Notamacropus eugenii: one gene and its partners. The protein of the gene in region 3 interacts with the protein of the main gene of each other region in a pairwise test. Links are inferred from orthologs where the notes say so. Each region holds a gene or a part of one and is shown on either strand. Other genes may lie near its edges.

Region 1 (7,815 bases), on a different chromosome or scaffold from region 3:
ACAAGGGATGCCGGAGTGGTAAGTAAAGAAAAATTATAAGTGATGGTTAGATTCCCATTTTTAACCAGTATTTATTAAGTAATGATTTGTGGCGAAGTTTTTCTTGTCAGCAAAATGTTTACTATAAAAAGATCATGTTTCTTAAATTCTATAATCTTGAAAAAGCTGTTTCCTTTTCCCTGACTTTTTTTCCTCCCTCCCTCATGGTCCCCTATCCTTTGAGTTGCTAAAGAGGTTGCAGTAGGCTCTGTATGGATGTTATTTATTTTACTGTTCAGGGTTCCCAATGTTTATGATTCACAATGATCATTTAGGTCAGGAAGCACAGCTCTAGAACACTGGTGTCAAAAATCAAATAGAAACAAGGACCACTAAACTGTACATAAGGATCCCTGTGGGTTGCATATTGACTTAGAAAATCATGCTTTAACATCATCTATGTTTTATTGCATTTTTATTTATTTTGTTAAATATTTCCCAATTATATTTTCATCTGGTTCAGGCGGTACTCAGGAGTATTTTGGGTTGCATGCAGCCCTGTGATTTGGATCTCTGATATAGAGTACTCCCCGATTTCTCACATTCTCCACAATTGACCCTCAATATCTATTCTAGTATCTTCTCTTAGTTCCTCTGTTACCCACTTCCACCCCTAGGGGCTCCTAATTTCCAAGTAACCACCTATACTAATCCAGTTCTGACATGGCACACTATGGCCCACTTAGAAAAAATAAATGGCATTAGCTCCACTATTTCCTCATTCACTCTTTTGCACTCTTCTCCCCCTTTACCCAGTTAAAACATTCTCATAAATGTTACAAAAAGCTTCTCCTTTCACTCTCTTCTACAAAATCAAGCCTAGTAAACAAAATCCAGTTTTCACAATTCTCTAAATTATTAGATATAAATTAATTATTCACCATGAGAAGCTATTTTTCAAGGCTGGATTTTGATTTCTCAAAACACATCTTCCGCTGTCTAAATGGGCTCTATCACCGTGAAGAATGTGCTTCCACATAACTGAGAAAAATGAAATAAAAATTAAGTGTTAAAAAAATGCACTTCCACTGGAAACCCTCACTGGTATGTCCTTCCAATTCCTTCATCTGAAATGTTACCTTATTTTCAAATCAACAGAGCTAAAATGCAAGGGCAGCTTTGATTTTATTTTAAATCTCAATTTACTGCAAAAGTGAATCAGCTTTTCACTACCTGACCTATCATACCCAAATGGCTAAATGCTGACTATGGGCCATATGTCTCTCTTTAACTTACTTCCTCCTGTGATCCTTGCATGAAGGCTAAGCCATCAGCAGAATCTGGAGGTAGAGAGGTAAGATAAGATTATCTATTTGAGTAGTGTAGGCTTCCAGGAGGGAGACTATGCTGAGAGACCCCAAAATCCAAGCATAGCTGGAGTTAAGGTCTACCCTACTATCAAAGATTAAGATCAAAGCCACAGAAATGATTTGAGCAAATATGGAAGTCATTGTCCCTTCAAAAGTCTTCAGAGTTCCTGGCCAATGGATCTCCCCCACTGTACTGCCAAAAATGGCAGCAATGGTGTCACCTACTCCCACAGCCAGCACTCCTGCATAAGGGACCAGAGCCCCAACTCCTTCCACGCTACCCTTTGGGGCACAAGGTCTTGGGAATAGCCAAACAGGGAGAGACATGCCCAGCAGCAGGTAAATGTGAGTCAGGATGAGGGGGCCACTGTCTCTTTCATCAAGGAAGAGGGAGAGCAGGTTTCTCAGAGTCTGGCCCAGGGGCTTAATTCGGAAGAAGCGAATATACTCAAGGAAGATAAAGACAGCTAGGCAGACCACAGCTGCAACATACAGTAAGAGTCGGTCATATATAAGTCCTGGTATATAAGTAGCCACTACGATGATGTGGAAATACTTCCGGGTAATTGTGGGGGCCTGATGTTTCTTTGACTCAGAAGATAATCTCTTAGCATTTTGGTACATCACAACTAAGCAGGCTGAAGCAGCCAGCAGAGACCAGTAGATCAGGAGGTAGATACGAGTTTCTGACTGGAATAGGAATTGGAAAAGCCAGAGCAAGGGGTTCTCCCGGATTAGGTGGTACAACCAGGGCATGACGACACCAAGGCCCAGCACACCTGTCATTAGATGAAAGAAAAGAGAAGATGTCCAGGTTCCAGAGTCCATGAAGACAAAGAATGTGCTGAAGAAGATACCCATGATAACCATCCCTACTACTACCACCAGGAGAAAGAAGTCTACAGGGTCTCCTCGGCCTTGGATAACATTTAGGGATCGCTTAATGAGCTGGTTGAGGACAAAGCTGATGCCCCCTAGGATAAGCAATGCCTCCCCTGGGGTGAAGCACCGGGGTAGCAGATACAGTAGGATCATGTTGAGGTAGACAAAGATCAGCAGGACCTCGAGGACCTCAATCACCTCTGCCACACTCAACGAGTGTTTCATGATGTAGATGATGACACTCCCAGCCAGACCAGAGATGACACAGGTGTTGGTGGGCACTGGCCTGGTGATGCCCAGTGCCAACACGGACAGGAAAAGCGCCAGTGCCATTCCGGTGGCTGCCACCACAACGCCGAAGCGCTCGAAGTAGACGTTTCCCACACCCTCGCAGCGCCTCTTCATCACCACCCCCAGCAGAGGGATGACCATGGAGGCCGGAAGCAGGCCGCTGTTAGCTGTGGTCCGGAACTGGAAGACCGCAGCCCCCTGCTGGAGCAGCCGGTCCCACTTGTACTGGACGTAGAAGGCCTGCACAGCCAGGGCCACGGCACACCAGGAGTAGCGGTCCCACACCGAGGCATGGATGCTCAGCACCACCGCGAACACAATGGCGGCTTCCCCCAGCGCGGCTCTGCTCGTCATGGCTGCAGCCATTCGACCACCCTCAGCTTGGATGGGCGCTGCCACGTTTCCCTTCCACAGTGGGGGGGGCTCTGGATCATGGATGAAAAGGTCAGAAGAAGCCTGAGGGTTTGCCACAAAGAAAAAAAGGGCGACGGGCTGGCAGCTGCTTGGGGAGAGCGCGCTGCGTCAGACAGCCCCGAGGGAGGGCACGTGTCAGGGACCCCAGTGTCCACAGTAGGCTGGAGACTCACTGTCCCCTCTCCATCCCCTTTCAGGACTCGGGGAGATGATGTAGGGTGCCACCTCGCCGGCAGCAGCCGCGAAGCCGGCACACCTTCCCTTTTCCCACCTCCTTGTCAGAGATCCAGCTCCAGCACTACCTGGCCCTCACCCACTCGGTCTTCTGCCCTCAAACGAGGGCTTTCACCTCCCTGGGAGCCGCCATCTTAAGCCCGGAAGGTCACGTGACAGACGCCTGGCCAGCCTAAACAGCGGAGGCTGGTCCAACCGTTCGACTCCTTCCATTTGACTCTTCGGTCACGCCCCTACGCGATCACGTGAGGCAGGCGGCCCAGCGCGCGGGCTACCGCGCGGTCACGTGGGGGGGACGCGAAGATGGCGGCTGCCGCCGGCGGGCTCTGTGTGAGGTACGGGCCGGGAATTCTTGATGCTGGCTGGAGGGGGAGTGTGGGGAGAGGGAGCAGGGGTGAATGGAGGGCGGGAGGCGGAGAGAGGCCGAATATAGAGGGAGTGGAGGAACCGGCGCCGAGGGCAGCGACGGTGGGGCCAGGTTGGCGGGCGACGAGTCGGTTACTTTCCAACCGGCCCCCGTCCCAGGCACGAGGCCCCCAGCGCGCGGAGGGGCACTAGGAGGCGGGGGAGTGGGGCGGCCGAGGCGCGAGCAGCCCCTCCTCCCTTGGTGTGTGAGCGCGCACGCCAGATCCCTCCTCCCCTTTCCCCGCGCTGGTGCTGCAGTCCCCGGACTCCCGCAGGCTGGGGCTGCCCCTCCCGCGGGGGGCGTGGCCTGCTCCTGGAACCGCCCCCGCCCCTGCCTCCCCCGCTCGGCGCGCTGGGGCAGGCCTGTAGTGGGGAGCCGCCCTCTCCGCGGCCGAGCAGGAGCGGCAGGCGTCGGCAGATTCATTCATTAGTTCTGCAGACTTGTCTGAGACGCTGTTTTGTGCAAGGCCGGGGAGAGGAGATTCATCTTAACTGGCGTTAAGTGCAGAAAGATTGAACCCACGTGTTCCGTGCAAGGCTCCCTTGGCCGGGGGAGGCTCTTCAGCCCTGGGGAAGGGTTTTAAGAGAGGGACATTTATTCAGGAACTCGGCTCAAAGACAGGTAGATGGATCTTTGACCCCATGAGTGTGGCTGATTCCTCCATAGAAGGCGCTGGAATGTTTCTCTTGGTGGTTTTAATTCCTGTAGAACTGAAAGGGGCCGCCAGACTGGAACTGACATTGTACAAAGAAGCGCCTGTCCGGCCAGAGAAGGCTTACTGTGTGACCTTAAGTCATGTAGCCATCCTGAGACTCAGTTTCCTCGTCTGTAGAAGGAGGTAGCGTTTAGGTCACGATCTGTGAACCCTGCTGGACTGCGGTAAGACTGCTATCAGAGTACCGCCCTCACTAAGTTCAGAAAGGTTTGGCTACCAGGGGATGAATTTTTTTTTTCAGCTATTGCAACTCAGAAAACCCATTCATCATGTTGTGCTGGAAAGAGAGGAGGGGTTTGAGATCATAGATCAAGAGCTTGAAGGGGCCTGTCGAAGGTCCAGTCCGTTCATTTTATAGATTAGGTGAAATGATCTGCCCAAGGACATACAGCTAAGAAAGAGTTTAAGGTCTTCCTGAGTAGATCACCATACCCAGGAATCTTTACTGAAGGTGGAAGTTCTCATTCTTACGAGATCATGGATCTTTTGGCCGTTTTGTTGCATCCCTGATATAGATTTTTCCTTCTACAGCTCTTGATTCATATCCTCTTGGGGGTGTCAGTACTTTCTATGTTCAAGGTGCTATGCCAAGCTCTAGAGGTAAAAAAGATGAAAAGAATGGCATAGTTCCTGCCTCTAGAAAGTTTAGTTTAGTAGTAGATAATACATAGTGTATTTAATAAGTGCAAAGGAGAGGTCCATATTGAGTTCTATGAAAAATCTGAGGACGAAATAATCAAGGAAGCTGACTTATACTCAGATAATTGTAATACAAATCAGAATGTGGAAGTGCATAAAAGGGGAAGTTTAGCCATGGAACCTTCTCTTGCACAGCCCTCTGTGCAGGATTTATGTCAGAGACTTTGTGGCAGTTGTCTTACCCTCTTTAGTTTTTTTGTGTGATGTTACAGTAGTCAAGATCAAGATTCCTTCATCCTCTTTGTTGATGTTTCATAACTATTGCAGAGCCTTGGTGTTAAAGTTGTGCTTCAGACACCTCAAAGTTTCCTTGTAGATCAAGGCATGCTATTTTATTAAAAATAGGTAAGAGAGTTACCACTGAACTACCTTGTTTAGTCGTTTGAGTTGTATCCAACTCTTTAGGACACCATGTAGGGTTTTCTTGGCAAAGATACTGGAGTGGCTTGCCATTTCCTTCTCCAGCTCATTTTACAGATGAGGAAACAGGCAAATAGGGTTAAATGACATGCCCAAGGTCACACAGCTAATAAGTGTCTGAGACTGGATTGTTGAGCTCAGGTATTCCTGACTCCAGGTACAGAGCTCTATCTACTCCACCACCTAGTTGCCTAATGAGCTACCTATCAGACTCATATAAGAAACCTAGAAGTAAATACCACTGACTCAATAGAATGTATTTCTAGTCATAGAGTAGCTTGTGGTCTGTATTAGAGTCAGCTCTCCATTCTCCTTGTTCAAGATAAGCCCCCTTTCAGGAAAAATACTGCAACTCCTTCTTAAAATGTCTAGGTTTTTAGACTAAAAGTTGAAAACCCTAGGTTGTATTTCTGGTAGCTTTTGAGTCACTGAGTCCTTTAGATAAATTATTGTACTAATTCTAAAGTTTCTCCCAAGTATAATAAAAAGGCAATTAGTTCACCATTAGAGATTTTCATAACAAGGTCTTATAGGTGAAAAGAATTGAGATGTCAGTTACTTTGAGTTCCTTGAGAGATGTATATATAAATCAAGAAGATACCATTAAACTAGATGACTTCTGAAGTCCCTTCCAGCTCTAAATTTATCCTGTTCAGAAATTTTCTCTTGGGAAAGCAACCCAGAGATTGAGTAGAAATCAGTTAATTGTTGGTGTTTTTCTTATATCCCTTTTATTCTTTAGCTAATGCATTTGCAAAAAGCCAAGCTGTGTGTATATATACTGTAAACAAAAATAGAACTGCTGTTTAAAAGGTTTTTGTTGCTAAGCTTGAATCTCAGTTTATGCCTCTGTCGTTGGACTCATGAGAATCAGTAGACGTCTTTTATTTATTGTCCCTGTGGGATGTCTGTTAAAAAAAAAAAAATTACATCATCAGAGTTGTATATCTGTATCCCAGTTTTGCATCTTAGTTTATAGAACTGAAGAAACTCAGCTCTCAAGCAGACTTACCTAAAGTATTCAGCCGGATGAATGTCTCTAGGGAAGATAATTTTTGTATCCCATAACTTTAGCATCCAAAGTCCTGTGTTTAAATGGCTGACTGTGTCTAGCCTAAGCAAGTCACTTAACCTTTCTGGGTCTCATTTTCCCCATCTGTAAAATAAGGATATAGACTAGATGGCCTCTGAGTCTCTTCCAGCTTTGGGTCCATGTTTCTATGACTTTATGTGTGATATGTCACGTAGAGTGTTTTATTTTGGGCTTAGAAGCTAGGAGATTTGGGGTTTCTTTTGTAAAACACTTATGTAAGGTACACCTATATTTTACTAATAGGATAGACAGTGTGGAGTTGTGGAGTGGATGCTAGAGTTGGGGTCAGGAAGACATGGGATTGAATCCTGTCTCAAACACTTAATAGTTGTATGACCATGGTTAAAGTCATTTGATCTCTCTGAGTCATAGGTTTCTCATTTCTAAAATGGGAGATAATAATTCTTGTGATACCTGCTTCACAAAGTTCTGAGGTACAAATAATTTAATGTATATAAAATGTATTGCAGCCTTAAACTCACTGTATAGATGTCAGCTATTGTTAATATTCTTCTAATTATTTTTGAGCAATGAATTTGGGAGTGCTTCTTGTACAGAAAGCTCAGTGAGGGGAAGAGATAGTAATATCTGATTCTTTGTCTTTCTAAGTATCAGCCCTTAGGAACCAAATACAGACTTTTTAGATATATTTCAGATTTCCTTAATTTGAGAATTCTGAAAATTGGTTTTTAGACTGGAAAGATAAATTTCTATCATTTATATTATATTTCAGTGACCCATGTGGGTACTTCCTTTACCAATATAAATCACAAGCTCTCCACACCTTAGTAGAAGTTTAAGTGAGTTGCTGTTGTCAGAGAATCGTATCACTTTGATGGCCAGCCTCCTGGTGGTGAGCCCCTTTAAATTTAGCTAGGATGGATAATCTTTAGATGACAGTAAGACACATTATTCAACCCATGCATTGATCCAGGAAGCTTTTATAAAAATATTGTTCCCAACCTCTTTTTTTCCCCTCTTCGTATGGCTTCCAGAGAGGCCAGTATTGTAGGACACATTTTAAAATTTAATTCTAGATTGGGTGGCAAAGTGGTATAGTAGAGAGCTGGCCTTAGGAGCTAGAAAGGCCTGGGTTAAAATCCCACCTCTGATACATGCTGGCTTTGTGAACCTGAACAAGACACTTAACCTCTCAGATTTATAGGCAACATTCTTGAGAGACTAAAATTTGTAGCAAAGGTGCTGACCTGCATGACAGGGTCTAGTCTCGTTCCCTAATTCTAAGAAGTTTAAAAGAAAAATCATGTTTCCTGAATGACCAAAGGAGGTATTTCCAAGAGATATAGAACCA
Region 2 (7,879 bases), on a different chromosome or scaffold from region 3:
CAGCTGAAAGAAATGAAAGATTTAGCCTGGAGAAGAAAACTTAACAGGAGCATAACAGTTATTTTCAAATATCTGATTGTGAAGTGGTCTTCCAAAAGTAGACTTATTCTGTTTTGGTTCCAAGAAGTAAAACAGGAATAATAAGTAAGATTCAGTGTCAGAATTAGAGATGATATAAAAAAAATCTTAATTAGAAGTAGGATAGGATCATCTGGGAAGTACTGGGTTCTCCTTCAGTAGATGTTTTTAAAAATATACTGCATGACTCACACACTGAAGAAATCTTTATTCTGGTATGAGTTTGACCTAGCCTATGAAATCTTTTTCAGCTCTAAGATTCTCAAAAACATTTGCTTTTAAGAAATACATGAGTATGCAGAGTTTGGTTGCACTTTGGGCATAGTTCCAAATTGCTCTCCAGAATGGTTGGATCAGTTCACAACTCCAACAGCACATTAGTGTCCCAATTTTCCCACATCCCTTCCAACATTTATCATTTTCCTTTTTTGTCATATTAGTCAATCTAATAGATGTGAGATGGTATCTCAGAGTTGCTTTAATTTGCATTTCTCTAATCAAGTGATTTAGAGCACTTCATTTGCCTATAGATAATTTTGGTTTCTTCTGAAAACTGCCTGTTCATATCCTTTGACCATTCATCAATAGGGAAAAATGGCTTGTAGTCTTTATAAGTTGGACTCAGTTCTCTTTATTTGAAAAATGAAGCCTTTATCAGAAATACTTACTATAAAGATTGTTTCCTTCTAATCTAGGTTGCACTGGTTTTGTTTTTGTTTGTGTTTATTTTTAATTTATTATAATCAAAATTACTTTTTTTTTCTATTTTGTAATGCTCTATCTCGTTTGATCAAAAATTCTTCCCTTCTCTATAGATCTTACAGGCAGACTATTTTAATGTCTAAATCATGTATCCCTTTTGACCCTATCTTGGTAGTATGGTATGAGATATTGGTCTATATCTAGTTTGGGCCCTATTGTTTTCCAGTTTTCCCAGCAGTTTTTGTCAAATAGTGAATTTTTATCCCAGAGGCTGGGGTCTTTGGGTTTGTGAGACATTTAATTACTGTGGTAATTTACCACTATGTCTCGTAAACCTAATCTATTCCACTGATCCACCACTCTATTTCTTAGCCAGTAGCAGATAGTTCCGATGATTACTGCTCTATAATATAGTTTGAGATCTGGAACTGCTAAGTTACCTTCCTTTGTATTTTTTTCATTAATTCCACTGATATTCTTGACCTTTTGTTCTTTCAGATGATTTGTTACTTTTTTTCTACCTCTATCAAATAATTTTGGGGAAGTTTGGAATGGCACTGAATAAATAAATTATTTTAGAGAGAACTGTCATTTTCATGATATTGGTTCAGCGTATCCATGAGCAACTGCTATCTTTCTAATTGTTTGGATCTGACATTACTTGTATGGAAAGTGTTTTGTAACTGTGCTCATATAGTTCCTGGGTTTGTCTTGGCAGGTAGGTTCCTAAGTATTTTATATTGTTTACAGTTATTTTAAATGGAATTTCTCTTTTTATCTTTTGCTTCTGGGCTTTATTGGTCATATAAAGAAATACTGCTTATTTATGTCTTATATGCTGCAACTTTGATAAGTTGTTTCTTAGTTGATTCTCTAGGGTTCTCTAGTATAGCATCACATCATACACAAAGTGATAGTTTTGTTTCCTCACTGCCTATTCTAATTCTATTCTAAGTGCCTTGAGGACAGGGGTTGTTTTTAACTTTCTTGGTATATAGCACAGTGCCTGGCATAGAGTAGGAGCTAAATATATGCTTGTTGACTTGGAAAGAATAAAAACTTCAAATTGAAATGCTGAGGCAATTCTAATGATTAATCTCAGCCTCCTCTTCCCTCTAACAGGAATGCTAGAGGGCAGAACACTAAGCTCCACCCAAAGCTTTCCTTTATCTACACATTTGCTTGGTCTCAAAATGCTCCCCCATCTTCTCCCTCTACACACATCTCTTCTGCCCCTACAATCTGCAAGGCCCAGACCAGTCAATCCTTTGCTCCTGCTTCTAACTCTGTATTTGTCCACCATGCTCCGATGAGTACCTTCCCCTGGATCTACTCCCACTCCTGTACCTAACACAAAGCTTGGCACATTGTGAGGGTTCAGTCAGAATCTCCTCCAACTCTAACCTCCCCCCTGTTCTAATGGTCAAGTTCCTCCTCAGAATCTACTCATACCAGCCATGAATACTTTTAATACCAGCTAAACCCTCAATCCTATTGACTACTACATTTCCTTGAAAGCAAACTCTTTCTGCGTGTGTGTGTGTGTGTGTGTTATTGTTCAGCATAGTGCCTAGAACACATAGCAACTCTAAGGCTCAGAATACATTCAAAAGCACACTGACATTTCTTAAGTGTTTGCACTCCTTGTTTTTTAAAAAGAGGCTTAGACTCTAAGACAAGAGTAGGCCAAACACAGGCATCTCTTCATACTTATACACAAAAGAGAAGAAATTCTTCGTTTGTACGTTGTTATTCCTACATACTATTTCTGCTAATTTTCTGAATCCCTAGGAAATTAATAAACAAATACATAATGAGCATATTAGAATTAAGCATACAGTAAACTTCTGGTTTATCAAACTAAATTACCACCAAACTCCATTTTCCAAGAATTGCAAACTTTCTTCTTTTTAATGACTTCAAATTTTTTCTTTTCCTAATAAAAAAGATATCCATCCAGATATGTTCGGATTTTAATAGATACCATCCAGATTTAAAACATCATTTTTTAAAGTTATCAAGAGTCTGTTGGCTTCTGTCTCTCCCCATTTGTCATAATATCAATATATACTGTAAATCTGTTTTAAATCTCCCATTCTCTGAATCTTCTGCTCTATAATAGTTCACAAAAGTAACAGAAATGTACTCTGGAATGAATGGGATTTAAAATTTTAGCTACACAACATTTTTCACTTGGAAAAAGTATTAAACACAAGAGAACAAGAGAAATATGAGGTTTTTAAAGTTCTGTAGGAAAAACTACTCATTTCATTCATTTTTATGTATACTTTTCAGGTATTCCATTTTTACTTTATTATATCCATAAAACATTTTCTCCCAAAATATTATTTTAAAATCAGTTTTCACTGGTTCTTTAAATAAATGGAGAATGAAAAAATGCTCCCAGATATGGATTCTTATCTTCCTCTGGAGGAATACCAGAAGATATCCATTTAAGGACACATAAAACAGCAGCTGCAGATTTTAAAGGCTACTTGATTTGCTTATGTAGAACTAATATCAATGCATATAAAAATGCAGAGTAAATGTACTATATTTTTTTTTTTTTACAAATTCCATAGTATACACTGAACACAAACAAAAATAAACAAGAAATCCCTAAAACAATACATCACTTTTTAAAAAAAGATTTTGGAATGCTTTTTGTACCTTAGAAATATTAAACTTAAGTTTTTATTTCTGAAAGCAGAAATTTTAAAATGCTTAAGCAAATTAATTACCTAGAAGAGATATATACCCATACACAACACACATATGCTAGCAATCACCCTTTAGCTGTTTTAATAAATTTTAATTTAAACTATATTTACATAGTAAGCATATGTCTATACATCCCTCCATATACATTAGCAAATTAGAGAGGCATAACCTTTGGGATCCAGCCTAAAAATAGCTGAAATAAGAATCCAGCAGAAACGCAGCATTTACATGTGAACATTGGTGAGACCAATGCTATGTAACAGAAATGAGTCAAATCTATGCCTACTCATTCCAGAGACCACGTTAGAACAGGAGTGTTAAAATCAATGGCTTGTGCTTTTGTTCTTGCTTAGCTTTCAAATAAATGACCTTTTTACAAAAACTTTAAAAAAAAAAAGAATTAAAAAGTGATTACCACTGAATGTATATGTATGCGTGTGTGTGTATGTATGCACATATGAACACGTACTAAGGATGTATCAATTTGTGTTTAAATGAAAAAAATTCAAAATTCTTTTAAACTTTTAATATTAGACAATCACAGAATTAAATATAAAACTGAACAGAGATAGCACTTTGGCCCAGTGACTCAATGGGAATGCATCTAATTAGAAGCATCAAGTTCCTTATTATTACTGCAACTTGAAAAGTTCTGTAAATAAATCACTTACTACTTGAAATTTTTACAATATGAAAATTTTATAATACACCAAAAACATCTAGGGGAGGGGATTCTTTAAAAGCTTTCTGAACAAAAACAAAACAAACTATCAAGAGCAAACATGGCACTCTCTTTTATATAAGAACCAGCCTTATAGTTCACCATTTGCTTTTTTCAATAAGTAAAATATCAAAGGCTGGTGACCTTTGCAGTTCTAAAGTAGTATTAATCACGGTTTCAGTGAGTTTGATTGGATAATCTCAGTGTTGAGGTATATAATAACCAATCACAACTTCTCAATTAGTGTATGACATCATGGGTCCTCCCTCTGAAACTTCTCTTTCTCCACCTACTTCAACTGTTTCCACAAATATAGTGACATTCAAAAAAAAGGTGCCAGTAAAACACGAGGACTTCAGACAACTGAGAGCATACTGCACTACATGTTTGCAATTATCTGAGCAGCCAAGGTAAGAGACTTATTTTTTAACTATCTTTGGTAACTCTTTAATCCACTACTCAGATTTTAGTCTTTTTTATATATGTTGAAACAAAGCCATTATGCTGTTTTTGAATGATTTGTATATTTTAGTTCTGAGCCAGACATCACTTAAAAATCTAATTAAAAAGTTTTGCTTCTAAATAAAAACACTTCCCCCAGAACACATTAATGCATATACCTCAGTTTCCCCATCTTTGAGAGGGGATAAGTCCTTTAAACACACACACACACACACACACACACACACACACACACAAAACACTTCAAGGTCAAAAAGTCCAAAAAGGACTAACATACCTTTAACACAAATTCATTTTATAAATACTAATTGTGAAATTATATTCACTTTTAGCATCTTTCATAATACTGTTATTATATACTTCCTCATTATCACTTCCTACTGAATAATTTTAACTGAAAAAATTAAGAGGTAACACAAGGATAGAACTTTTACTTACATCTTGTAGAATTGTAAACATTCCTGTGACTGTACAATACACTGATTTTTTCAGTAACAGTTACAACTCTTTATACTGAAATTAACAACTGAAGAATGTAAATGCCATAAACTTATTTCAAGGACTGTGTTTTTTTTGTTCAAGAGAAAATGCTTTTTTTAAAAAAGGAGCACTTCTACATGACCTAACACCATGTTAAAAATCGTGATCTAAGCTAAACTGAATACCAAGCATTAAAAGCTACTTGGTGATCCTCAAAATATTTATAGAACATAGGGAAAAATAGTCTTTCCTAATTAGAAAACAACCACTTGAATCTAATAATATAGAGTGCTTTCTGTTAGAATGAGAATTCTGGGCTGCTTCATTTGACTCTGCATGTGATTTAATATATTTCTGCCAATGACTGACTTTAAACCAGTTTTTTCCTTTCTATGTTCTTGTTTTCACTTGGGATAAAATATCGTTCTAACACATAATTTTACCTTCCTGCCCTAGGAATTTACTTGAAGCTTCAAGCATCACTATGATTTTTTTTTTTGAAAAGCGGGAACTTTGGTTTTCTCTACAACAGGGGTTCTTAACCTATTTTTGTGTCATAGAACACATTAACAAGCTGTAGAGGCTTATGGTCCTCAGAATAATGTTCTGAAATGTGTAAAAATAAAATACATAGGGAGGGAGATCAATTATTTTGAAACAAATTAATCAAAATATTAAAAATCAGGTTCACAGGTCCCAGATTAATAATCCCTGCTTAGCACAAATTTCATCTAAAGTTCCTTTCCACCTCTCACTGTGGTAGATATTTTACCTTAGTTTGTAGAGCTGTCTGTGCAAATAAGAAAATTTTAGCAAGCACTAACTACGGACCAGATAAGCTTTAAGAACAAATATGAGTTTTGAAGTCAAAGGACCTGGGTTGAAATTATTACTCTGCTACTTATTTGTGTACAATAGCAAGCCACTTCCAAGGCTCAGTTTCCTCATCTTCTAGAGTTGGCAGACCCCTTCTAGCTGTAAATTTATGATCTGATGTGCCATTTGTTTACATAATAATGGAGCTCTTTTAAGAATATGCTGTTTATTTCTATAAAATACTCTATCAGACACAAGAATACATATATACATATATATTTATACATGCACTTGTTTTAGAAATGATCAGATCACATCAAGATTAAATTAAATACCTTATATTTTAAGTTGGTGAGTTCCCATTAGAATTCAAAGAGCTAATCTCTAAAAGATTAACAAAATTTCAAAACCATGTACAACAAGGAGCTGGGGAAAATCCTGAATGAATAAATACACTGCTAAAAATCAATACGTTCTGTTTTATAACAGATTTTTATTTATACATGCTCAAGTTTAAAAGCAGTCTTTAAACTGAAAACTGGAACTTCTGGCTAAAAGTTGAATCAACAAATATAAGTTAACATCTAGGATGACTAACTTATATTCTTAGCATTAAAGCCAATTATCCATAGGCTAGCTCCCGAACATAATTTAAGATGTACCAGAAAAATGCAACGAGTGATAAAATTTAAGAGCTGAAAGAGATCTTAGAGTTGTCTCAGAACACCCCTAAATTTAAAACAAACTGATGACCAAAAGAATTCAGTGGCTTGCCAGAGCACACTGCTTCTATCAGAACTAAGACAAAAAAAAAGTCAGCACTCCTTCCTTATATTACTTTGCCCATCCTCATCTGATCAATTGACACCTGAAATCACAATAATGTGGATTTCATTCCACAACAAGATATAAAGTTTAAAATGTAAAATATGTGAGAGTTGATTTAAATTCACACTAAATTATAAATAACTAAAAGCTGACTTTTGTATAAGGTTTCAACTAGAGAATGACAGGAGAATGCAGGAGAAACAGTAGATATACCTTAAAAGAGAGAAAACAAAACAGGCCTAAAAAGGAGAGGTTGAGAGATTCCAAAAATCAACAGATCTCAAGAGTGCACTTGTATGCAAAGTACACTGCTAAGAAAAGCTGGGGAAGAGCGTTTAATTTCACTAATGTCACATAAGGGCCCTGCAGTTCAGGAAGGCTACCAGTGTTGGTTTCTCACATAAATTTTCTCTTCCTAAGCACACAGTGAAATGGTCAGACAATGATATCTGTACCACCTGACACACAATGAGTATTCAAGTTCTTTCACTTTACTGGCACTTCATTTTCTCACATACAGTTCCATATAAATAGAATATCACCCACAGGGCTGAAAAATACCATAAAATCCTATTATAAAACTAGTTTATCATAGTATAGGTTTCATTATATTGAGTCAAAGCATGTCCCTTTAGTAGGGCAAACTGCAAGGCAGCATGACAACATGTGTAAAGTAAAAGCCCAGTTGGAAGAACTCCTGGGATTCCTGTCCTGTCTCTAATAAAAGCTAGCTGTGTGACCAGGGACTGTCACCCTCTGCATCAGTTCCCTTATCTATAAAGAGGATATTAATAGCACATACCTCCCAGCGTTGTTGTGAAAATAAAATAAGATTTGTAAAGTGCTTTATATAAATATGTAAATATTTATATAAATATACATAGCATTATATAAATGCTAGCTATTTTATTACTTTTATTATTATTTTATTCCCTGGTCAGGTAGATATCAAAGGTCCATAGCACCACCACTACTGCTGCTGCTGCTGCTCACCTCATTTTGTTCCCATCCCCTCCCATTAAAGTATGCATGGAACTTATTAAGTTTCAGAAAGTGACATGTTTACTGATA
Region 3 (7,934 bases):
CTCAACACCTAGGAAAGGGAGTAGGAAAGGGAATAAGCACTTATATAGCACCTGCTGTGTGGCAGGTAATATGCTAATCATTTTCCAAATATTATCTCGTTTGATTCTCAAAACAATTCTTTCAGGTTGGTTGTTGTCCTTCATCTTCGAAGAGGACCAAAGTGACATCACCACTGTAAAGTGAAATTTCTGTGCGTCCAGCTGTGGCTGATCAGACCTGTACAAGCTCGGAATGCTCTACCACAGGCTGGGCACAGATAGTCCGTATAAATATTTGGGGTGGATATCCCAAATTGGAGCATCCTACATTTACTTCGTGCTATCTCAATTCTGCTTTGCTCAAAGAGCACAGCACCCTTTCTGACGTGGGCACTTCATGCCGAGCGGTCCTGTGCCAGTGTCTCCCATGTTGCACAGTCAAATACAAAGTTCTTGAGAGAGACCTTGAGAGTGCCCTTGTATTGTTTCTTCTGGCCACCACGTGATCACCTGCCCCGTGCAAGCTCTCTATAAAAGTCTTTTTTGGCAAACATACATTTTGCATTTGAACAACGTGGCCAGCCCATCAGAGTTGCACTCTCTGAAGCATGGTTTGAATATTTGGCAGTTCAGCTTGAGCAAGGACTTCAGTGGTGCTATTCTTAGCACCATTTTTTAGTTGGAGAAACGGAGGCGAACAGAGGCTAAGTGTTTAAATAGAAGTTAAGTCCAGGGTCACACAGCTTGTAAATGTCTGAGGTTGGATATGAACTCAAGTCTTCCTGACTCCAGGCCCGGTGCTCTAACTTCTGTGCAACCAAGCTGCCCTATACTCCTAGGTGCAGTCTGCACTAAATTTGTGATCCAGTAGTGGGAAATGAGTGACAAGGCTGCTACTCTGCATCTGTTTCTGCTCCCTGAACATGATCAGGGGTTCTGGGCTCTCTGTGATGGATCTAAGATTTCTTACCCTAGCTCACAGTAGCAGGCAGCTCTTTATTCAGTCCCCTTGAAGGAAAGCTCAACCCATCCCCCAGTGTCTGAAGACCTCCCTGTGCGTCTCCCTATGCGGACCTGGGCATGATGAATAATTCATTATGGTTTTAAAAAAATCCTTAAGTAGGACTTGGCCTTTTGAGTTTTCTAGATCTCTGTGGAATGCTTGTAGGCAAAAGCTCAGTTGTACTTCTTCCTTCCACCCTGCCCTTGTCTGGGTTTCAACAATCAGGGGAATAGGGCATTTGACCTGGGAGAGGGGGGCAGAAAGACATTTGCTGTTGCCAGTTGTTGTAAGGATACCTCCATTCCTTCCCCCACCATGTCGGTGTCCCTCTCTGTCTCTCTGTGTGAGGGCAGGCACCTTGTGAAAGTTGAGGGCAGCTCTGAAGAGTTGCCTGGATTTCAGTGTTATTTCCTGCATATCTGTGTTCTCCTGTGTTGTGGCTGTCTCTGGAGAAAGTCTCCAGTCTTGAGTTCTGAACCCTTCCCTAATTTCTTGAGCATGTCTGGATTTGAGGTGACAGGACCCCAGAAACCAATAGTTGTAGGACCCTGATAATGCTAATGCACAGCATGACATTTGGAGAGTTGGAGGGTCCCTGGGCTACAATGTTAAGAAATGGCTGCCATTTGCTTCCATTTCCTCTTCAGATAACAAGAGGTATCCTTTTACCTCTTCACAGGTTCCTTGGAGGGGCCTTTCCTATGCAAATGCTCTAGAATCCTTTCTGAGTCTGAAATGCATCCATATTCCATGGGATATCCCACCCAGATCAACCACTAGATCAACCTCCAGATCAACCTCCAGATCCAACCACCATACTCCACTGTATTAGCAAGTCAGGACAATCCAGAACTAGCAAGTTATGTGACCTTTGGCAAGTCAGTATCCTCCCTGTGTGGTAGTTTCCCCATCTGGAAAATGAACAGACTTGATTATCTAAGAGTTCTTAAGCTGGGGTATAGAAACTTTTTAAAAAATACATTGCTAATGGTATTTCAATAGAATTTGTTTCCTTTGCATTCCTATGTATGTGATTTAAACCCTCCTGAGAAGGGATTCATAATCTTCTTCATCTGACTGCCAAAGGCCATCCCTATCTAGAACTCAAATGTGAATGGATTTTCTCCACAGAAGCCAAAAAGGTGACAAGCCCCAGAAGTCTCTGAGCTCCTAAGGCCCTTTCAGCTTTAAGTTCTGTGAATGGGTTAGTTAGGATAAACCAACTTGACAGACATTTTCAGGCATTAAAGACAATCACTAATGTCTGGAGAGAGTGAGAAGGGACCTTACCAGGCCCTTCTCACTTTAAATGGAGCTATGGGCTGAGTCAATTTTCTTATTTGTAACAGGGCTATAATTAAATAAAACCTGTATATTGTAATCTGGGGGCAGGAAGGGACATGAGGATCATAGAATTTAAGAGCTGGGAGGGACCTTTAAGATTATATCGTCTAGGGGTGGGGAATCTGTGGCCTCAAGTCTATATGTGGCCCTCTAAGTCTTCAAGTGTGGCCCTTTGAGTGAATCCAAGCTTCAGGGAACAAATCCCCTTCATAAAAGAACTTGTTCTGGAAAACTTGGACTCAGTCAAAAGACCGTACCTGAGGACCTAAGCCCCACCTATTTACAGATGAGGAAACTGAGGCACAGAGTTGCAGTGATTTGTTCAAAGTCACACACCTTGTAAGTGTGAGGGACAAAACTTGAGCTTCAGGGTCATCATTTGCAAATCCAGAGTTCTTTTTACTGTACTAAGGAAACTTTTCCCTCTAACCCCGTGACCCTTTCGTTCAATGATCTGAGCTGCCTCTTCCACTCCAGGTCAACCCAGTCAGCTCTAGCCCTAGAAAACTGTGAGTCTTTGGATCTGTCCTTTCCACCGTCCCTCATGGGCTCAAGGGGAAGTCTGACTTCAGTGTGTTTGTTGCCTTCTTGTGTTTGGTGTAATGTTAAAGATTCTGCCAGCTGTGTATTCTCCAGCTGCACATCTGGAACTCTTGGCTGACTTGTTGAACTCCCTCCCAGGGATTTCTCCAGGGAGTGAGTGGGGAGGTGTATTAAGGCTAGGACAGCTGCCTGCAAATGAAGATGCCAGAGTCCCCAGGCCACTCTCCCCTCCCCACCCCCACTTTGGGAAGATCTGCTCCATCCTGGTCATCAAATTCTCCCCTTTGTCCCCTGAAGGGACAAGTTTAGCTCTTTTCAGGAGAAAAGATTGGATTGTCATTGAACTATAGAGCTCAGTGGGACTTTAGACCAGAGAAATAATCCAGAGCCATAAGGATAAAACATGGAACACAGAATGTGACTCTCTGGAAAGACCCCAGAATCAAAAATGCTCGAGTTGGAAGAGGATCTCCGAGGCCTTATTTAGCCCAAACTTTACTTTACAACGAGGAAACGGGGAGGCGGGGGGGGGGGGGGGGGGGGGGGGGGGGGGGGAGTCACTCGTTCAGGCTTACTTACGTAGCTAGCTAGTGCCAGAGATAGAACGAAAACCCAGATTTCCTGGTCGCTCAAGTCAGCATTCTCACATCACATTAAAAGGAACTCTACTGCTCCCCCCCCCCCCGCACCCCCCCGCAAGAATCTCGCTAAGTGGTTGTCGAATGAATGAATGGCTATTTCAGTCCCCTCGGGCGGGCCCCAGCACTGGCTCTCTTGCTCCCAACTTCTGTCTCTCGCTGTCTCTGTCAGATTCTGTCTCCCTCCACCCCTACCTCTTCTCAGTCCCCTCGGGCGGGCCCCAAGACTGGGTCTCTTGTGTTCCCTTCTTCTCTGTCTGTGGCTGTCCCCCCTCTCCCCCTCCCCTCCGCCTTGGGCTCCCAGGCCGTGGCTGCTCCCGGGATTCCTGTCCCGGCTTCGTCCGTGCGCCAGCTGCCTGCGGCTTGGACCTCGGCCCTGGCTGGCAGGTTTCATTCCAAAGCCCTAACTGTTTTAATTACTTGGTCTGTGAAACCCCTGGAAGGGAGAGAGACGGAGAAGGGCTGCGCTGGGTTAGGTGGGGGCACTGGGAGGTGACGAGCAAACTTCTCTCCGTCCAGAGCTCGTTTTCCACTGGTTCAGGTCCACGAGCACTTAGTTGGCCCCTGCTGTGAGCGGGGAAGGCATGAGGCGTGGAGTGGAATCGAGTTGTGATCCAGCTCCTGCTCCCCCTTCGCGACGGAACCGGGCACAGGACAAGAACTCGCCTTTCCAGATCGCCCCTCATTGGGCTAGCCTCCCCCTGGCAGGCGCCCAAGGGTTAACTGGAGGCGGGGTCCAGAGCTGAAGGGCAGCCGCTCCCGCCAACGGGAATGGGAAAAGCGGGAAGCTGAGGGAGGAGCGAGCGGTCTGGGGCGGGACCGCACGCGGCCCGGCCCCGCCCCCTGAGAGAGGGACCGGGGTGGAGTCTTGGGGAGGGCGGGGCGCGGGGCGCCGGGAGCCGGGAGGCCGTGCCGATTGGATGGCGGAGCCATCGCTCCGCGGCCACGGGGCGGGGCCAGGCCGCGCCCCCGCCTCCCTCCGCCCGCCCCCCCGCCCGCGGAGTGGGGCCGCACACGCGGCTGCTCCCCACTCCGGCCCGCCCAGCCGCCGCCGCCGCCTCGCCCGTCTGTCCGTCCGTCCGTCCGTCAGTCCGTCGGTGCGTGTGTCCATCCGAGGTGCGGCGGCCGCGGGTGCCCCGAGCCCCCCGGCCCATGGCCGCTCAGTAGACGCGCCTGACAGGGCTCCTTCCGAGAGTGCCGGCCCAAGCAGCAGACGCGGCGGCGGCGGCGGCGCGGGGCCCACGGGCCTCCCGGGCGGACGGACGGGCGTGCGTGCGTGCGTGCGTGCCAGAGAGTGCGGGAGGCCCCCCGGAGGCCATGGGTTTCGCCCAAGAGCCTGCAGCGGCGCGCGGGGAACCCGGGCCAATCGTCGGGCCGGTCATCGGGCCGGGCCGCCGCCGGGCTAGCCAGCGAGGCTGCGGCTGTCGTGGGGGCTCGGCTTCTGCGGGCGCCTGGAGCAGCTGCCGCCTCTTCCTGGCTTTCTTCGCGCTGTCGCTGGCCCTCCACCTGCTGACACTCTGCTGCTACCTGGAGCTGCGCTCGGAGCTGCGGCGAGAGCTAGCCGCCGAGGCCCGCCGCGCCCCCGCCCCCGCCGGGCCGCCTGCCGGACCCCCCGACGCTACCGTTGATGCCTCCCGGGACTCTTTGGCCGTCCGCCGCCGGCGCCAACGCGGGCAGCTGCCACCTCAACTCCAGCAGCAGCAGCAGCAGCTGCCACCACCCGAACCCGAGTCTAGGGACACGGCGCTTCTTCCCGACCCTGGGGACCCGCAGCAGGTGAGTCACCCCTCCTGCCGGGCGGCCCAAAGAGGGAGGGAAGAAGGGTACACCTGCTCCCTTGCCCTACTGATCGCCTGTCACCTTCTGCCGCAGTAACCGGGAATGTAACTAAGTCATTAAGGAAATGGCAAAACTCATTCAGTTTGAAAGTAATTCACAAAGCTGGTCACAAAGTAACTGGCAAAGTTACTTACAAAGTTGGCCACAAAGTAACTGGCAAAGTTACTTACAAAGTTGGCCACAAAGTAACTCACTAAGTCAGTCACAAAGTAACTGGCAAAGTTACTTACAAAGTTGGCCACAAAGTAACTGGCAAAGTTACTTACAAAGTTGGCCACAAAGTAACTCACTAAGTCAGTCACAAAGTAACTGGCAAAGTAGCTCACAAAGTAATTCATCAAGTCACAAAGTAACTGGAAAAGTAACTCACTAAGTCAGTCACAGAGGACCTGGGGAAGAAATTCCCTAAGTTTTAGTCAAGGAGTATCTGGCAAAGTGACTAAGTCAGTTGGAAAGTCAATTACAAAGTAACTGGCAAACTCATTAAGCCAATTGCAAAGCAAAGTCATTGAACTAACCAGGGAGTAGAGGCAGGCCCCTTGGAGGGACCGGTCAGCTTCATGCCTGAGGATAACTACTAGCTCTTAGCAGCTACAAGGCTGCCAGCCGGAGCCAGCTGCCAGCAGCTCAAGTGAGTGCTGTGTGCCCCAGGGAAGTAACTTCTTAACCAACTCCATGTCAAACCATGTGAGATGATTTGGGTTTTACCCGCAATTTGAGAGCCATACCAGCTCGATCATTCCTTGGGAAGGGCTTACTACCTCCAAGCTATTTTAAAAGTTTGGGGAAACACTCCCCTTCCACCTTGTTGCATGTTGCCTCTGTCCCTGGAAGCTAAGGATGGGGGGGGGGGGGGCAGGGAGAGGAGGCAATGTCCAGTAGCCACATGCTAGAGAAATGAGATCTCCTCAGAGGAGCCTGAGGCAGCCTAACAAGAGACTGTATTATGTGTATATGAACTTTCTGGTGGTTTGGTTTGAATGGGTCAACTTTTAAGCTTACTTTTTTCTCCTCTTATAGTTAACCCTTTTAGGGTACATTGAGAGCCATTCTAATTGAGATTAAATTGTTTGTAAAGTGTAATAATTGCAGTGAAACAGCCTTCTGGCTTGATCACGGAACAGTCATATGTTTTTATTACTTGGGAAGAAGAAGGTACTGAGGTCAATTAGGTGCTTGAAGGTCAAGGGTAACCCTGGCATTCTCTCTGGAATATAAGAACTCAGTACCTTAGTGTCAGCCTGTGCAGGTGGGCTGTAGAGTTGGGCATTACTATTGAGGATAACTGAACATTGCTGAAGATTTAAGACTGAAGCTTTCTCTAGCCTAGATTGTAAAGTTACTTTGCGGTTTCTCTTGCTTTGCTAGCAGGCTCCAACCTATAGAAGGACTGATCAGAGAATAAGCAGGCAAGCTTGAAACTTTACACTCTGTGGCAAAATGATAATTATCTGAGATTTGGGCTCCTTTACATAACTTTCTCCTCACCCCTTCAAGCTACCCCCCTCCTCCCCCAGTAGAAATATTTTGCAGTTAAACTCTAATGGAAAGGTAAAGGAATTCAGTATCCTTTTTGGCATTCAATATATAGACAGTCCCATGTTTATAATCTGTTGATAAACAGAACATCTGGACCTCTGGGGCTTCCTTTCTTGGGGGAAAGAGGCCAGGACTGACCTCTAATGGGATTTGGGATACCTATTCTCCTAGAACGTTTCATACTGTCCTGCCTAAGTTTTAAACCTCTGCCTTCCTAGTAGGCCTGAAATTGTATTGTCCTTCTTTGTACATTTGGGCTGTAGATGCAAGCATGCTAGTACCTTATCTTTCTCCTGAGTAAGCTAGAGTGCCCCAGTCAGAGTCAGAGGATCTTGTTAGCCAAACTGATTTCAGCTTCATCTTCCAGATTTTCCTTGAATCTTTGAAACTTTCAGGCAGTTTTCAAAGTGACTTTAGCTTAGGTGAACTTCTGTGTATCTTAAAGACAATGTTTTGAGCCTTCCTCGATGTCTAAATTGAACCATTTCCAATCCAATAGTTCTGTGGAGTCCTGGGTCAAGTTTCTGGTGCTCTAGGGCACCCTCTGCTGGCTGGGCTGGGATATAGAATTCTATGCTGACAAGGATTCATGCACAGGGAAGTAAACAGCTTTTCAGGTTCTGGTAACGTAGGGCAGATTTTCATATTTTGTTTTTCAAAACAAATAACTGCTGTGGCAGCAGGGGATCTTGGATGGAGAGAGATGAGAAATACTCCAGTGTGCCGTGGGCATGTCCTGGGTCATGCTCCTCATCAAATCATCTATAGGTAGCAAAGCCAAATGAATGGGGGGCAGGGGGAGAAAACTCCCAGAAAATCTCATGCAGACATGCATGGACTGAAGTGTCAGACCAGCTCCTAGGGATAATAAGATAATATACTTAGGCACCATAGGCTTAGAGCTACAAGAGATCCCAATTGACTTGTCCAAAGTCTCACAGGTGTTAAGGACAGAACTGAGATTCTGAGATTCAAACTCAGATCCTGTAACATCAAATCCAAAACCTTTTCCCCAACAACATACTTCCAAACTCCACAGAAGATGATTG

Evidence for each region.
Region 1: the proteins of EDA (region 3) and DOLK interact in binary tests that used the Homo sapiens proteins (3 or more experiments, as listed by UniProt). The two-hybrid records come from large-scale screens. The link is inferred for Notamacropus eugenii from reciprocal best matches to the Homo sapiens genes EDA and DOLK.
Region 2: the proteins of EDA (region 3) and PLN interact in binary tests that used the Homo sapiens proteins (3 or more experiments, as listed by UniProt). The link is inferred for Notamacropus eugenii from reciprocal best matches to the Homo sapiens genes EDA and PLN.

The regions. Positions count from the first base shown.
Region 1 is NC_092872.1:480,252,708-480,260,522, forward strand, and holds DOLK (dolichol kinase), read right to left. Parts: upstream 3,353-7,815; 5' UTR 2,889-3,352; coding exon 1,302-2,888; 3' UTR 438-1,301; downstream 1-437. Other genes in the region: nucleoporin NUP188, read left to right, coding at 3,474-3,505. UniProt on the Homo sapiens protein: Catalyzes CTP-mediated phosphorylation of dolichol, the terminal step in de novo dolichyl monophosphate (Dol-P) biosynthesis. Dol-P is a lipid carrier essential for the synthesis of N-linked and O-linked oligosaccharides and for GPI anchors.
Region 2 is NC_092873.1:200,445,343-200,453,221, forward strand, and holds the start of PLN (phospholamban), read left to right. Parts: upstream 1-4,527; 5' UTR 4,528-4,632; intron 4,633-7,879. UniProt on the Homo sapiens protein: Reversibly inhibits the activity of ATP2A2/SERCA2 in cardiac sarcoplasmic reticulum by decreasing the apparent affinity of the ATPase for Ca(2+).
Region 3 is NC_092879.1:100,925,383-100,933,316, reverse strand, and holds the start of EDA (ectodysplasin-A), read left to right. Parts: upstream 1-4,502; 5' UTR 4,503-4,824; coding exon 4,825-5,283; intron 5,284-7,934. UniProt on the Homo sapiens protein: Cytokine which is involved in epithelial-mesenchymal signaling during morphogenesis of ectodermal organs. Functions as a ligand activating the DEATH-domain containing receptors EDAR and EDA2R. May also play a role in cell adhesion.